Linked DNA regions of Arabidopsis thaliana. The protein of the gene in region 1 purifies or fractionates together with the protein of each later gene. This does not show direct contact. Each region holds a gene or a part of one and is shown on either strand. Other genes may lie near its edges.

Region 1 (7,558 bases):
AACGTTCTTGTTGGGGAACTTTGCAGAACTAGGATCAATCTGTGGACGAGACTGAGTAGCAAAAGCAGTGACATCTAGCTTTTCTTCCTTAGAGTATCTATTGCTCAACATGTCCTCTTCTTGTCTCACAATGTTGTAGACTTCTTCGAGTCCAGGAAGAGGAACACGTGATGTTAAGCTAGACCGAATTGTATGAAATTGAGTTTCATCAAGTCCATACAGAAATTGTTGAACCATGTCATCTTCTCTACCTTTCTCCTGCTCAGCTTCAAGATTACACACACATCTTCCACATTTGCAGGTTCGAAGAGGACGATAGTTGTTGATATTATCCCAAATCTTGTTGAGTTTTCCATAATATCCTTCAACAGTCATACCCTCTTGTTTACAAGTAGCAAGATCTGCCTTCATCTTCTGATTCTTTGGACCACTAGAAACAGAGAAGCGTTTACGAGTGTGTTCCCAAAGATCTCTAGCCACGTCACGGTGGGAGATATTCGTCAAGAGCGCCGGGTCAATCGTCATCTTCATCCAAGACACTAGCAAAGCATTAATCGTTAACCAGTCCTCGAGGTCCAGAGATTCTGACGGCGGTTGTGGAATGGAGCCGTCAAGAAAACCAAACTTCTTCCGTGAGCGCAGTGCTGTTTTGAAGCCACATGCCCATTCATCATAATTAGTCGACTTCAAGATCGGGTGGGAGATCACAGCTCCAGAGTTATCAGCGACCGTTAAGTCATACGGCGAGATCGTTCGCCGGACTTCAGTTACAAGAGGAATTACCGGAGGAGCAGCCATTACTCCAAAAGAAACTCAAACTTTATCGATTTCAAATGAAAAACCCCAGCTTTAGCTCTGATACCATGACAAAATCAAGAGACAAGAGATAAAGATAAGGTTTTGTCTTGATAGCAGCTTAAGTGTTTCTCAGACACTTATACAAAGAGAAAGCGTTTCAGACCTAAAGGGACAAGAAGGGAAAAGACCAAAAGGGGTTACAAACAGTACATAAAGCAACATTAAGCTTAAGAGCAACTAATTGATGTGCTCTAAATAAGATAAGTAGCAATATCTTCAACAGAGAGATCTTTGCTTCGTTTTGTTAATCTTTTTGTTGGGTTTGATTTGGTCTTTGGTTAGTTGCAGAGTGGGAATAAGCTCCGCGTGTTTTGGTGTCAACTTGTTGTCCTAGTTTTTAGTTTTGTTTCAGTTAGTTCCTGCAATTTCTCTTTCACGTATTTGTAAGAAGACTGAGTCTTCATCTTTAGGCTATTTAAAGCCAAACAACTATGATAATAAAACATCGAAGCATTCAGTTTTAGTCTCTTTGTTCTCTCAGATCAACACTTTTGTATGTTTATGTAGCAAATATGTCATAGAGATTTGAAGATTGAGAAAACACTGCTTGATGGTAGTCTTGCACCGCTTTTGAAAATCTGTGATTACTTGGCTTTGATCTCATAGGTCATTCATTCATTAGTCTCTTTTTCTTCTTTTGTTTCAGTTTTGGTTCCCATTATTACTTGGCTTTGATCTCATAAGTTTTTTTTTTAAGGAAACCCATTTAAGGATTCTACCTTTGGAGAAGAGAATTTATAAAAACTTGACAAAAACTCTAACCTTCAAAATTATTAATATTTGTTATTAAGAAATTTAAAGGATTCCTTATAAAAAACCCACCAATGGATTTGCTTTAAGATCCATTAAGATACTTATTGGAACCTGGAACCAAATCAAAACTCTTTTTTTTTTTTTTGGTTCGGTTCGGTTCAGTTCCAGTTTTATGGCAAAACCTAAGTTTAGGGGTAAATTGGAAAATATTCAAAAGTTTTAGCCAAATATCAAAGTTTTTACTAATTATCAAAAGACACACTCGAGAAATTCATAAATGGGCTAACTTTTATCAGAGAGCCCACTAAACAATCGGCCCGTTAGCCAAGAAAATCGTCACCGGCGTCTTCCATTCCAACATTTCTCCGTCATCGTCTCTCTCTCTCTTTTTTTTTTGTGTGTGCAAAACGTCTCTCTCTCTGTCTCATAAAATCTCAGAGAAGAAACATCGTCGGGTCAGGTCGAAGAAAGGAGAGAAATGAGTGGTCACGATTCGAAATACTTCTCCACGACGAAGAAGGGAGAGATCCCTGAGCTCAAGGAAGAGCTTAATTCCCAGTATAAGGTTTTTTTTTTCTTCTTAATCTTACTCTTGTCTCATTCCATGTGGATCTGTGATCCGCCATTATTACATTCACGATCTCTCGGTCGATGATCCTTCTCTCCTTGTAATTTAGTTATCCTTATACAAATTTTGGTAGATCTGTGTAGTTCTGGATTTTGAATTTTGAATTGAAATTGGTTTCGTGATTTTGTGGGAAGTGCGATGATTCCGTTCATTTTTCAGTAACTGATTGGGATATAGGTTAGAATTGGAGAGGAATTGGTAGGTTTTTGAGAATGGCTAATGTGGAGATGTGTGTGCAATCTCGTAGTAACTTTAGTGAAGCTTAGGTTGGTGAATCAGAACTTGTTCGATCTGGATCAGTGGATTTGGATGAAGAGTTTATGTTAATGATTTAAGAAGGAATGGTTCTTTTCTGCTTTGGCTACAGTTTTGTTAACCCTTGTTGTTTATTTACTGTTGCATAGGATAAGAGAAAAGATGCAGTTAAGAAGGTTATTGCGGCGATGACTGTTGGAAAGGATGTTTCATCACTTTTCACTGATGTAGTCAATTGTATGCAAACGGAAAATTTGGAGTTGAAGAAGCTTGTTTACTTGTATCTCATAAATTATGCGAAAAGCCAGCCAGATCTTGCTATTCTTGCAGTAAATACCTTTGTAAAGGTAACACTCAAGCAACTCAAACAAAACCACGTGGCATTCCTTTGTTCTGTTCTGAACCTGAAGGGGAAAGGAACTGATAAACTGATCATTACAAAATCATTGGTTTGTATTCTGCAGGATTCACAGGATCCAAATCCGCTGATTCGTGCTTTGGCTGTGCGGACAATGGGCTGCATTCGTGTTGATAAAATCACAGAATATCTATGTGATCCTCTTCAAAAGTGCCTAAAGGTTTGAGTTTCTAATGTTACATCTTCATTGGAATCTGATATCAAACATCTTTATTGCCCTTAAGAACCTGTTTCATCTTGACTAGTCCATCTTTTCACTATCCTGTGTATATTTTTTGTGTTTAGGATGATGACCCATATGTCAGGAAGACTGCGGCTATTTGCGTCGCTAAGCTTTTCGACATAAATGCTGAATTAGTTGAGGACAGAGGTTTCCTTGAAGCCTTGAAGGATTTGATATCAGATAACAATCCAATGGTTGTTGCCAATGCTGTAGCAGCCCTTGCGGAGATTCAAGAGAACAGTAGTAGCCCCATCTTTGAGATCAATAGTACCACTCTTACAAAGCTCCTTACTGCTCTAAATGAATGCACTGAGTAAGTCCTCTCCATTTCCGTAGTTTCACTGCATTCTGTTCGATTTTGAGTATTTATGGCCCCATTGTCCAGTCAGGGTTTAGGGGATGTTGATGGTTGTGAAATAGCTTGTTTGATGTGGTATGGCCTCTGTTTGGATATCATTCCGTTGTCTTTGTAACTATTTTCAAACAGCAGTTTAGAATTTTTCGTCATTGATGGTTTTATCTGTAGATAATGACCCAGTATATAAACTTTGGGGAAGAGAAGCATAAAATGAGTAATGGATAAGCTTTTGGTAGCTTCATTTTTAGTACTGACCATGATCATCGCAGGTGGGGTCAAGTTTTTATACTAGATGCTTTATCGAAGTATAAAGCAGCTGATCCCCGTGAGGCTGAAAATATTGTTGAGAGAGTAACACCAAGGTTGCAACATGCCAACTGCGCTGTTGTTCTTTCAGCTGTTAAGGTGAGCGACTTTCATTGATTGTTATCCTCTCTACTTCTAGTTGGTAGCTCGTCAAACTTGATTGTAAAACATCAGGCATCATCAAATGCCTTTGCATATTTTCCTATTGCGTTCTCACTTCTGTTTCATATTTGGTAATTGCCTGACAGATGATCCTTCAACAAATGGAACTTATTACTAGTACAGACGTGATTAGAAATCTTTGTAAGAAGATGGCTCCACCCCTTGTTACATTGCTTTCTGCCGAACCTGAGATACAATATGTTGCACTTCGTAACATTAATCTTATTGTGCAAAAACGACCCACTATCCTTGCCCATGAAATTAAGGTAGCATGACCTGTGTCTCATAGTTCCTCAGAATAAACAACTGATGTATCCGTGCATTTATTGATTATGTTGAAAGTGATATTCTTTTTGTTTTAGGTTTTCTTCTGCAAGTATAACGACCCAATTTATGTTAAGATGGAGAAGTTGGAGATTATGATTAAACTTGCCTCTGACAGAAACATAGACCAGGTATCCTCACTGAGCTCTACCATCTGCTGTGTGTCTTGATTATTATTGGTGCATATCTTTATGATTTTTGAAAATTGCTACTCTAGGTTCTTCTGGAATTCAAAGAGTATGCCACAGAAGTAGACGTTGATTTTGTTAGAAAGGCTGTTCGTGCGATAGGCCGATGTGCTATCAAACTAGAGAGAGCAGCTGAACGGTGCATCAGTGTTTTGCTCGAGTTGATCAAGATTAAAGTGAATTATGTTGTCCAGGAGGCCATTATTGTCATCAAAGATATCTTCAGAAGATATCCAAACACGTAAGTTGACATTTCTCAATCACTGTTGAAATGGCATCTTAAAACTCTTCTTTGATTTTGGTTATGCTATTCAAATATTTCATACAGGTATGAGTCCATAATTGCAACACTCTGTGAGAGTTTAGACACTTTGGATGAACCAGAAGCTAAGGTATTGAACTTTTTTGATTTTGGTTTGGAAAATTGAAATTTACCATCTTCATTTAATCTTAAATCACTGAATTCGGTATCTTTTGGTAACTTGAAAGGCATCTATGATATGGATCATTGGTGAATATGCTGAAAGAATTGACAATGCCGATGAGCTTCTTGAAAGCTTTCTGGAGAATTTTCCTGAGGAACCAGCACAGGTCCAGTTGCAGCTCCTAACTGCTACTGTTAAGCTATTCCTGAAGAAGCCAACTGAAGGCCCTCAACAAATGATTCAGGTTCGGCTTTTTCCTTGCTCACCACTGTTTTTATGATCGATTCATGAGCATGTATGTAATGACAGGCATGTTTTCCGTTATGCTTGATGTTTTCAGGTTGTCTTGAATAATGCTACTGTGGAGACGGATAATCCTGATCTCAGAGATCGTGCATACATATACTGGCGTCTTCTATCCACTGATCCTGAGGTGTGTGTTACCTTGATTTCTTATAGCTTTCTAGTAATCAACCAGTAGAGAATGAATATATTCAGGATTGGTTATTCAAGCAACAAGCAATTTTTATCAGTTGAGCTTTCTCTTGAGATGTATTTGGCTGAACTCATCATTTCTCTTGATTAGGCTGCCAAGGATGTTGTCTTAGCTGAAAAGCCCGTGATTTCTGACGACTCAAACCAGCTAGACCCATCACTTCTTGATGAGCTTCTTACAAATATTTCGACCTTGTCCTCTGTGTACCACAAACCCCCAGAGGCTTTTGTTACCCGCTTGAAAACGACAGTTCAGAAAACAGAAGACGAGGACTTTGCGGAAGGAAGCGAAGCAGGATACTCATCTAGTAATCCGGTTGATAGTGCAGCTTCTCCTCCAGGTAATATCCCACAGCCTTCCGGAAGACAACCAGCACCAGCGGTCCCAGCTCCTGTACCTGATCTGCTAGGTGACCTGATGGGATTGGATAATGCCGCTATTGTCCCGGTTGATGATCCCATAACTCAATCTGGGTGAGTTATGTCTTGATTAATGAAACTTTCTATTGTTGGGACTAGTTTATTACGTTAGGTCAATTTCGGTTGCCTAGTTCATACTGAAACTCATCAAATCTTATGAACTTGATCGTAGTCCTCCTCTGCCCGTTGTCGTCCCAGCTTCAAGTGGTCAAGGTCTGCAGATAAGCGCTCAATTATCCCGAAAAGATGGACAAGTATTTTACAGTATGCTCTTCGAGAACAACTCGCAGTCGGTTCTTGATGGTTTCATGATTCAGTTCAACAAAAACACATTCGGCCTTGCAGCTGCTGGATCTCTTCAGGTAACTCTATCTGAATCTAATTAACGTCTGAAACTCAGGTCTGAATCATTGAAACCAATATCCATGTCTGTACTGTTTCAGATTCCGCCTTTGCATCCCGCAACATCCGCCAGGACAATGCTACCTATGGTCTTGTTCCAAAACATGTCTGCTGGGCCTCCAAGCTCGCTCTTACAAGTCGCTGTCAAAAACAACCAGCAGCCCGTGTGGTACTTCACCGATAAGATTATACTTCATGCTCTTTTCGGTGAAGACGGTAGAATGGAACGTGGAACCTTCCTTGAGGTAACATACTTCAAAACTTGAGCTGTTCATATCGGTTCTGGTTTAGGAAAATAGTGACGACTGTGAAACCAAATCGGTTAGAGATAAATTTATACGGTTTGGGTTTTCATTTGGATATATCTTTATGTTTTCAAAGATTTTAAGTTTTTGTTTGCTTTTTAATCAGACATGGAGGTCGTTACCGGACTCAAATGAAGTCCTGAAAGAATTCCCCGGGATCACCATCACGAGCGTCGAATCAACTATCGAATTGCTCACAGCATTCAACATGTTCTTTATAGCAAAGCGCAAGAACGGGAACCAAGACGTGATCTACTTATCAGCCAAAGATCCACGAGATGTACCGTTTTTGATCGAGCTCACTGCAATGGTGGGCCAACCAGGTCTCAAATGCGCAGTGAAAACTCCCACTCCCGAGATTGCGCCTCTCTTCTTCGAAGCTTTGGAGCTTCTCTTCAAGGCTTGATGATTAACGTTGTTATCAAAAGGCTAATAAGACCAAGACCTGAAAGGTTTCAGAGATTCTTTCTTGTTTCGTTATATCCCACCTTTTTTCTTCTTCTGAGTTTAGTGTATGTAATAAATCCCATGTTTGTGTTACTTCCGGTTGCACCCTTTTAGTTTGGTATTTGTAATGCTCACTATTTTCTTATAATTCTTGTATCGGAACCACATTTTTTTTCTTTCGATATTTAATCCGGGAAATGCTGGTTTCTGAACTAATAAGGAAGATCAAACACCATCAAAGGACCAGATCACCATGGAAAATCAGTGATCTAGCTACATTGGAGCCGTTGATGATGCTAGTGATGGACAATGCCAAAACTTTCAAACATTTCTTTTAGGTGATAGGTACACTTGGGGCTAGAGACCAAAGACGGTTATTCTTGTATTTTAAAATCAGAATTGCTATCAGAAGCATGTGTTTTGTCATGCAGTGTGCAATTTGGAGTTTCTTTCAGGATATGCTAGCCACACTAAGTTTGCATCAGAGTGAAACATAGTAGTATCCTTTTAGAAAGTAAGGCATCGGCTCTTAAGTTAAACACAATTTGGATAGACATATGTGGACATGCAAAAGTTATCGTGGGAGGAGTG
Region 2 (4,719 bases), on another chromosome or scaffold:
CAATGATACCAAGAATAGATTATGCTTACAATTCTATGTGAAGATATTAGCTACATTGTCCTGTTGTTAGCAATATTAGATCAATGGAGAGGGTAATTTAGTTGCTGAGCTCAGAGATAACCCTGAAGTTTACTCTGTGAATTGTTGATTACATATACATATATATTCACTCTCTTCTCTGTATTGCGCTGTTGTTCAGGTGTGTTCCTCGGCTTATCTTCCAATGCGCGTTACCAAATCATCAACGGCCTCGAACGCGTCGTGGAAGGTTCTACAGCGGCCAAACGTATCCCTGTGGTCGCTATGGCATTCACGGTGGGAGTCCGGTTTGCTAACAATGTGTATGGCGGTATGCAATTTGTAGATTGGGCTAAATTGTCCGGCGTTCAGTAATCAACCGGTTCGGTTTTGTTACAAACCGGATAGTAAACTAGCCTAGATGTCAATCCTCAGGAGTATGAGAGTATCTCTAATCTGATGGGGAAGTTTAGTTATCTGAGTTTCATTAGTGTGATTAGGTTATTTACCGAGAGCTACAGAAAGAGAATCTGGTTCATGATACGGACCGGATTCTTCTAACCGGAATACTACTCGATACAACATTTTCAATTTGGTTTTGGAAGTTGAGTTTCTCATGGTATCCTTGTCTCTCTTATTCATTTTTCTGAATCATATACTTGCAATAATGACTCAAACTTTTTATCAGCCGTTAGCCTCTGCGTTTTTATAAAGTTTATAACAATATGATCACAATGGCGAATTATGTCAACTAAACGTCATTTTTGACGTTTGCGTTGATTCATTCTTCTGTGTTTTTTTTTTCACTTTTCCCACCGTTAAAAGTGAGAAGGGGAAAAGGAGAATTGTTGGTAGGTGGAGATATTAAAAGTAATAAATAAAAATATTTAAAGCAACTATGAGTGAGTATATTACAAAAAAATCTTTCGATATTTATTTGCAAGGAAAATATTCTTAGGATACTTTGATGGTAAGGCATCATTCGATAGATGGAGGATCTTGCGAGTGACAGCTTAGTAACCACTGTCATCCAACTGCTGCATGATCCTCATCTTTTGTTCTCTTGTTTCTGTTTTGTGCCCCTTAATGATATTTTATTTATACTCCTTTACTTAATTTGAACAATTTATATTATATGCCCTATAGATTAATTAATGTGAATACCAAATGGTAATCAAAAGCTGACGACTGTTCAAAGGAACATTGTCCTCCCAAGGAAGGTGAATCATTTGATTAATCATCCCTACGTTGGGACCATAACTTGACCTGAATTTAAAATCCGGTTTTTTCATGGTCTCATGGTATGGTTATGTACTTATGTTATACTGAAATACCAATTGAATACATAACCGCGGTGAAAAACAGTTTAAGATTTTGAGACAGATTGTACAAACTTCGTTTTAATGGTGCAGTCTTTTGAGAAATGGCCAGCTTTCTTCATTTTTAATATATAAAATTAGTTTATTCCATGTTTATTTTTCGAATTACTCGTTTATTTTTTGTATTTCTCGAACTTGTAATCTTAAATTCGTCTGTTTAGCTCGTTTTAATTTTTGTTTTTTTTTGTAAACTCGTGAATTCTGTTTTTGGACGAGTCAATTTCGAATTTTCCAAATTCGCATGTGTTCAAAAATCAAAACAGACGAAACTGAATAACACAAAATTGAATAGTCAAAGTTGTAAATAATAAAAGTCGTCCCTCGTCTCTTCCCGCAGGCTTGTCTCTCTCTTCTCCAAAGATCACTCTCTCCTTTTTGAATTTCGTCCATTGGAGGTGTCATTTTCCGTTTCTAGATTAGGGTTTCGATCTCAGCTCTCGCGAATTGCTAATCCTTCAGCTGTGGTCTGCGCTTTCTGTCATAGTTAGATCCGGTTTCGCGAGTTCGGATCTGCGCCGTGTGAGGCGGTGGAGGACGGTGGATCTGAGGACTCTGTTCCACCATGACCGGAATGAGAGGTCTCTCCGTATTTATCAGCGACGTTCGTAATTGTCAGAACAAGGAAGCGGAGAGACTACGAGTTGATAAGGAGCTCGGAAACATTCGTACATGCTTCAAGAATGAGAAGGTTACTCTCAATTATCTCCATTTTTGTTTGCCTGTGTTTTATTCTCATTTTGAGTGGTAATTCAGTGACGGAGTAGTATCTGCCGAGGTTCTGTATTGATTAGATATATTGGAGATTTCTCCATGAAGCTACCTATTCCTCTGAGGTTGATTAGGGAGTTATATAAGAATGTAGTTGAAAGAAAGATGCAATCACTGGCCGAATATTTTATTAGGAAAGCCAGAGTTGCCGAGTGGATAGTTTTGGAAGCCTGTAGTTTCTTATTTTATCGGATTCAGGCTATAAATTTTTGATATAACACTAAGTGTGTACCTGGACAGGCAGTATTGTATAGCTAGCTCAGATCGGTAGAGATTAGCCATTATTCTACCCTTTGTAACATCACTAGTACTGCTTTCAACTTTGGAATGTCATTACTGCATTTAAAGTCCATAGATGGGAGAAGATCAATCAAGATATATAAGACACTAAATATATGATGATATTTAGGAACTAGAAGAAAAGAATGGCCTGGCAGTAAATTCGGTTATGTAGTGATGGTCTAAGGAAAGAAATACAGATCACGGAAAATTTTGAAAAGCTCATTACGAAATACATTAAGCTTTGTTGCTGTAAGAAGTTCTGGAGAGATAATCTGGTTCCATACTCTACGTAGTAGAGCTGTAGCCGGCCTGTAGTGGATCCATGTGTGGCCAGTTGGACCAACACCAAACTTATTTTAAAATGTTAGAAATAAATTAATCATGCACTCTTACTTTAACTTGTTTTATGTTTTCAGGTCTTAACACCATACAAAAAGAAGAAATATGTCTGGAAAATGCTTTATATACATATGCTAGGCTACGATGTGGATTTTGGCCATATGGAGGCAGTTTCTCTTATATCTGCGCCAAAGTATCCAGAAAAGCAGGTAAGCCAACGTTTTGTAACCAATGAAATATTGCTTTCTAAGGGTAGGAGAAGATAATAGGTGTGTGTGTGGTGGGGGTGGGGTATTTGTTTGATTCAAGTCTAGTGAGCAAGCTGAAACAAAAAAAAAAATCTCTGAAGATAATGGATGCTGGATTTAGATACTATTTCACAAGCTTGCAACTTATTCAGTTTGAATGGACCTGGTAAAGTACTGGAGGCATTTACTTAGACGCATAAGTTACTTAGTAACATCGTAGCAAATCTTAACCAGGAACCATGCATTGTATCCAAGGGTTTGTATTTGCAGTTTGTATTATTTTATGCTCACTACCAAATTTGCAGGTATTGAACTTTTCATCCATAATTTCAGGTTGGCTACATTGTTACATCTTGCTTGCTCAATGAGAACCATGACTTTTTGAAGTTGGCTATAAATACAGTGCGGAACGATATTATTGGTCGGAATGAGACTTTCCAATGCTTAGCACTGACCTTGGTATGTTGGCTTTTGTCCATGCTGTGTTGAGGTTTTAGAGCTTAGTGAGGTCTTTCTGATTATGAATGCAGTTGAATGACTATTTTAGTGGAAGTCTTTGGATACATTTATCTTTTGTGCTCTATTATTTTGCGATTCAAAGCCACTTACTTCATTGAACTGGTGCTTTTTTTCTTCTAGCTCTCTTACATTTCCCTGCTTATTTTGTCCTGTAGGTTGGAAATATTGGTGGAAGAGATTTTGCTGAATCATTGGCACCTGATGTTCAAAAGCTACTTGTAAGTGACTCCCAAAGATGACATGTTATGTTTTTTTTCCCGATATAAGTAAACATATAAATGTTTTGGGGCTTGTTCGCTGCAGATTTCTAGTAGTTGCAGACCTCTCGTAAGGAAAAAAGCGGCACTGTGCCTACTGCGCTTATTCCGAAAAAATCCGGATGCTGTCAACGTTGATGGCTGGTGTGTGTGAACACTCTTGGGTTACTGGTTGTTTGAGTTTACTTGTGCATCTTTCATATTCACTTTGTCGTATACTTCCAGGGCGGATCGTATGGCACAACTTTTGGATGAACGAGATCTTGGTGTCTTGACGTCTTCTACGAGTCTTCTTGTAGCTCTGGTATCTAACAATCATGAGGCGTACTCAAGTTGTCTACCTAAATGTGTCAAAATATTAGAACGCCTTGCTAGGAACCAGGATGTTCCTCAGGAGTACACATACTATGGCATCCCATCTCCTTGGCTCCAGGTTTGTCTTAACTCGGTTAATACGTTCAATATTTTTTAATCACATCCTTTTCCCAATCTCATGCATTTTAAACATTTTATGTGAAATTAGCTTATGAAAATAGAGGCTTGCCCCAGCTTTGGTATGTTGTGGTTGTTGGATACTTATATATCTTTGGCAGTACAGGTTAAGGCAATGAGGGCTCTTCAATATTTTCCAACCATTGAAGATCCCAGTACCAGAAAAGCTCTCTTTGAGGTACAAATTTTCTTGTGTAAATATCTGATATATGTCTTCGAAATCTCTCTCATGGCATTTCATGGAAATTTCAGGTCCTTCAGCGAATATTGATGGGCACAGATGTTGTGAAAAATGTGAATAAAAACAATGCGTCTCATGCCGTGCTGTTTGAAGCTCTCTCCCTGGTAAGCTCTATCTAAGAAATAGCATTAACTTTTTGAGGTTCAATTGTTGATTATACTCAAGTCAACTATCTG
Region 3 (4,220 bases), on another chromosome or scaffold:
GAAGAACCAAAAATTATGAAAACCCCCAAATGAAAATGTTTTTGTGGCAAAGAAAACGGATATTCTTTCCCTCATTTTTAATTTCAATAATTAAAAAAAATTATATATGGAAAGATGAATTATTATCATTACTATAAATTATTGGATTGGTAAGAACAAGACGCAGTCACGTTTAAGTTTGGGTATACAAGTTTCGAGTCCTTGAGCCCAAGCCCATAAGTGTCTGTTTCTTCTCCACTATTTTTGGTGTTACCATCAAACATTCTTCATGTATTTGAAATCCTATAGATTATTTTGGTGAAACAAGTACTAAGGAGCAAACAGGGCAAAGTGAGAAAAGGGACATTGGCGTTGCTTTTGTGAGGAGAAAGGATAACTCTTCGAGCGGATACCTCCTCTCATGGCGGATCACGGTTACACAAAATGAGGTTAGGTCGCCCGAATTACAAAATTAGGCACGTTGAAGAAGAAAGAACGAGACACTGGCATGTTGTTTGGTGCATCAGTCCTCAGGCTCAAAAACCAATTCTATTCAATCAATCGGACAAATTATAATTTCGAGATGATGAACTTGATGAAATTTCAGCATTCCACGTTTTAAAACGTAACATATGTGAAAAAATAGTATACCATTTATGATTTCGCAGATCAATCACTACTTTTAAACCCAAAACGATGAATGCTTCTTTCTTCTAATCAATCAAACAATCACATGACATGACAAACAAAAGTGTGATTCAGAAGAGAATATCTCAGAGTTTAAGGAAAATATTAACTCATTTACGATTGTTTCAGCTGCATAAGAAAAGTTCAGAAAAGGACTACTTGGTAGCCTGAGCAATTATATTACTTATGGAACTCGCCTCCTCTTTCGCAACTTCCACCAATTGATCCTTCAAATATTATAACACAACATCATTTACACAACCCTTACGGACTAATCGTTTTTGTCTCAGTGGGCATTAGGATTAAGAAACCATACCTGGGCTGATATTATCCTTGCAACTGTTTTCTTGCTTGACTCTTGAAGTTCTCCGGCGATCAACAGCTCATCGAGTATATAATACGCCTAGAACAAAACAACCAGATTCGAAAATTGTCATATTGAAGTAAAATACAGAGAGTAGAGAATCATTGATAGAGTTGAGTATGTATACCTTGTGGAAGTTAAAAATCAAATCGAGTTCACACACCTGAAGATCATAGAATAAACAGCTCTTAATCAAAATCTAGATGTTTTGTAAGGTTATGATAGAGTGGTAGGAGTATATTTTGGATAAGCGTTTACTCACACTGCCAAAGTAGCGGTCAAGAATCTCGACGTAGTGATGAATTATCTCCAGTACCTCTAACTCGTTATCCGCCTCATCAATGCACATGCAGAAGTACAAGCTTGCATATCTGCAAAATTACAAAACCATCATGTTTATAACCATTGTTTTTAAAGTAGCAAATACATGCTACTTATATAAAATATGTCTATTACCTTTTGTAGACAACCTTGTATCCTCTCCATTCAATAAAATTGCAGAGCTTGGGACCTCGGTTCAGAATCACTCCACTGAGTTCACGTATGACCTGTCCAGATCATTTTTCCAAATGTAAGATTAAATAGGCATGCAAAGCATAATGCGGCATTAACTCAATAACACTTAAGCTGTACATACCTTAGATCTTTCCTTCTGCGTATACGGCGAATACCACTTGGTGAGCCTTACTTTCCCTTGTCGACTGACTAGTAACACGAAATGTATCTGAAAATACAAACATAACCCAAAACAGCCACCTTAGAAGTTTTTTTTTTTCTTTTCAAGAAAGCATTATTCTATCATTGTGAATGGCAATACATAACACATTAATTAGTTTTTGACGTCTCCTCACCCATATCAAGCATGAGAAAATTCTAGAATCACAAAGACAGCATCGAGATAAAGAGAATTAAAACAAGACCAGACAAAACCAGTAGTATATATCACGATTTCTGGCAACTCATAAAGATTTGAAATGCACATAATTGCATAAGGCAAGCAAAAGAGGGAATTGTGAGAGATCAAGTACCAGAACTTGAGAATCATTTACCATCATACACCTAAACGCAAGCCACAAGCATCTCAAGAAAAGTTTTTAAACCATTTAAAGATATGGAAAGATGGAGAGATCAACGAGCTTATTTTGCCAATTCAGAAACAGAGGCAAATAAAGAGATGTGAGGTACATGAACTAGCTTAGACCCTATTACATTTGAATCCAAGAAGCTTAATTACTTCAAGAGCAATAGTGGTTCAAAAACAATGAATTGGATTTAATAACTCACAAGAGATTCGAATGGGCAACAGAAACATAACAATTTCAAGCTTCACGAAACAAACTAATCCTTTCACTTCCTAAATAATCGATCAATTCGTAAGCGAGAAAAGAACCGGACAGATCCAAGCAGAAATCTACGGATACCGGAGGATTAGATTCAATTTCATCATCAAATCAAATCGTAGATACTCGATGCAATAGTACAAGATCGAAGGCAGATCCAAAATTCGAACAGATAACAGAGAAGCCCAAAAGCAAAGGGAGTGGCGATTGTTACCATTTTTAGCCGATTGAAGGAAAATCTTTAACAGTGAAGCTCGATTCCCAGAAGAGATCTCCAGAAGCTGATGATCGTGGAAAGTATTCTTCTGTGTCCGATACACATATAAGTTTGTTGGATACGGATCTTGTCCCGGGTCGGAGTTTTTTTTTTTTGAGGGACCCGGGTCGGACTCTTTAAAAATTTACTTTTTATTTATTTTTCTTCAGTTGGTTTTGTATTTACTGGGGTAGTGTTTTAAATCTGGACCGTTAAACAAACAAGATGAGGACTGATCTGACGGTCCGACTTAATCGGATTGCATTTTTACAGATTAAAAATTGCAACAAAATCACAACTTTTTATTAAAAGGTTTAGGCAATTTTTCAAAATGAGATATTATTGTTGTAAAAGTTAGAACAAAGGAGGAAACAAAATATCAACAATTGATGTGCAACCTGAAAATATTGAGAGTAAATTATAACTTGTATGAGCCTCAGCGTCACTATGCATGCATAATAATTTACATTTTTACGTCTATATAAATGATCAAATTTGTCGTAACATAAAATTCATTACTTCAATTGTAAGAGAAGTAATCAGAAATCAATAATAATAAAACTCTTACTCTCTTTGGTTTAAAATCAATAATGATTGTTGGTTTAGCTCTCTGCACAGTCTCTACTGCTTACTTTCTAAGATATCATCAAAGACCCATACACACACATGCCATGAGGAGAGACTTCATTGCCTCAAATGCTTCATTTGTCAAACTACCATATCACTCCTCCATCGTCTGCAATATTCACAACTACATTTCTACATTTATTAGTAGTACCTAACTCTGTCACGTACATAATCATCACAAAGCAAACACTGCCACAATAATCTATTCAATGTTAGAAAAAAAAATCATGGCTTTAAAGCTTAAACCGCAATTTAATTACACATTTTGATGCTAAGCTATGATATTAATATAAGCCATAAAGATGGAAGGACAAAAGACTTTACATAAATTAAGAAAATTTGGAGACTTAGTACAAAATAGATAGAAAAGAAAAGAGATCGATGAAGAAGAAATCAAATGAAGTTAGAATTACATCAAATCTAATTATGGGTTTTTGTTGTTTTATTATTATCCGTCTCATCGTGCTCCAAACATCACCTGTTGACTTGAGACGAAGGGCCAATGTCTCTGCTGGATCTGTTGTATTTCATGTGACTCTTCACAAGCTGTCCAGCTGCAATAGCAGACATTAGTGAAAGCTCTCCTGCAAGAACCGAACCAGCCACTATTCTTGCCAATTGCTGTGCGTTCGAGCCAGGTTTCTCGTTGTTTGATCCTTTCACACCGAGTAGATTCAAACAAGCTGCTTGTGATGCAAGTTGTGTCCCACCTCCAACAGTACCAACCTGGAGTCACATCAATAAACAAAACATTCATGAGTTGGATCCAACAATAATTCAAAAAACTAACGGCTTTGTGTTCTCTGCAATAATGGGTTTAATTTCAAGATAGAACATGCATTATACCTCAATGCAAGGCATTGAAACAGAGATGTGAAGGTCGTCACCATCGGGAAGAATCATGGTCATACAGTGTGAGCTCTCCACGTTTTGAGCTGGGTCTTGGCCAGTGGCGATGAACACAGCG

Evidence for each region.
Region 2: the proteins of AT4G11380 (region 1) and AT5G22780 fractionate together in Arabidopsis thaliana (co-fractionation; one large-scale study listed by BioGRID). This does not show direct contact.
Region 3: the proteins of AT4G11380 (region 1) and AP19 fractionate together in Arabidopsis thaliana (co-fractionation; one large-scale study listed by BioGRID). This does not show direct contact.

The regions. Positions count from the first base shown.
Region 1 is NC_003075.7:6,918,519-6,926,076, forward strand, and holds AT4G11380 (Adaptin family protein), read left to right. Parts: upstream 1-1,970; 5' UTR 1,971-2,089; coding exon 2,090-2,176; intron 2,177-2,373; coding exon 2,374-2,416; intron 2,417-2,486; coding exon 2,487-2,509; intron 2,510-2,643; coding exon 2,644-2,841; intron 2,842-2,958; coding exon 2,959-3,072; intron 3,073-3,197; coding exon 3,198-3,448; intron 3,449-3,762; coding exon 3,763-3,898; intron 3,899-4,047; coding exon 4,048-4,227; intron 4,228-4,323; coding exon 4,324-4,416; intron 4,417-4,502; coding exon 4,503-4,714; intron 4,715-4,801; coding exon 4,802-4,865; intron 4,866-4,962; coding exon 4,963-5,142; intron 5,143-5,238; coding exon 5,239-5,331; intron 5,332-5,484; coding exon 5,485-5,867; intron 5,868-5,985; coding exon 5,986-6,175; intron 6,176-6,256; coding exon 6,257-6,460; intron 6,461-6,626; coding exon 6,627-6,926; 3' UTR 6,927-7,058; downstream 7,059-7,558. Other genes in the region: AT4G11373 (Serine/Threonine kinase catalytic domain protein), read left to right, coding at 1,141-1,245.
Region 2 is NC_003076.8:7,595,069-7,599,787, reverse strand, and holds the start of AT5G22780 (Adaptor protein complex AP-2, alpha subunit), read left to right. Parts: upstream 1-1,674; 5' UTR 1,675-1,959; coding exon 1,960-2,085; intron 2,086-2,863; coding exon 2,864-2,995; intron 2,996-3,367; coding exon 3,368-3,493; intron 3,494-3,708; coding exon 3,709-3,771; intron 3,772-3,856; coding exon 3,857-3,954; intron 3,955-4,035; coding exon 4,036-4,243; intron 4,244-4,408; coding exon 4,409-4,480; intron 4,481-4,554; coding exon 4,555-4,647; intron 4,648-4,719. Other genes in the region: RER1 (reticulata-related 1), read left to right, coding at 200-393. UniProt on the Arabidopsis thaliana protein: Subunit of the adaptor protein complex 2 (AP-2). Adaptor protein complexes function in protein transport via transport vesicles in different membrane traffic pathways.
Region 3 is NC_003071.7:7,551,489-7,555,708, reverse strand, and holds AP19 (associated protein 19), read right to left. Parts: upstream 2,718-4,220; 5' UTR 2,588-2,717; coding exon 2,585-2,587; intron 1,755-2,584; coding exon 1,668-1,754; intron 1,579-1,667; coding exon 1,487-1,578; intron 1,402-1,486; coding exon 1,293-1,401; intron 1,194-1,292; coding exon 1,158-1,193; intron 1,070-1,157; coding exon 983-1,069; intron 894-982; coding exon 822-893; 3' UTR 546-821; downstream 1-545. Other genes in the region: HMG2 (3-hydroxy-3-methylglutaryl-CoA reductase 2), read right to left, coding at 3,728-3,979, 4,100-4,220. UniProt on the Arabidopsis thaliana protein: Subunit of clathrin-associated adaptor protein complex 1 that plays a role in protein sorting at the trans-Golgi network and early endosomes (TGN/EE).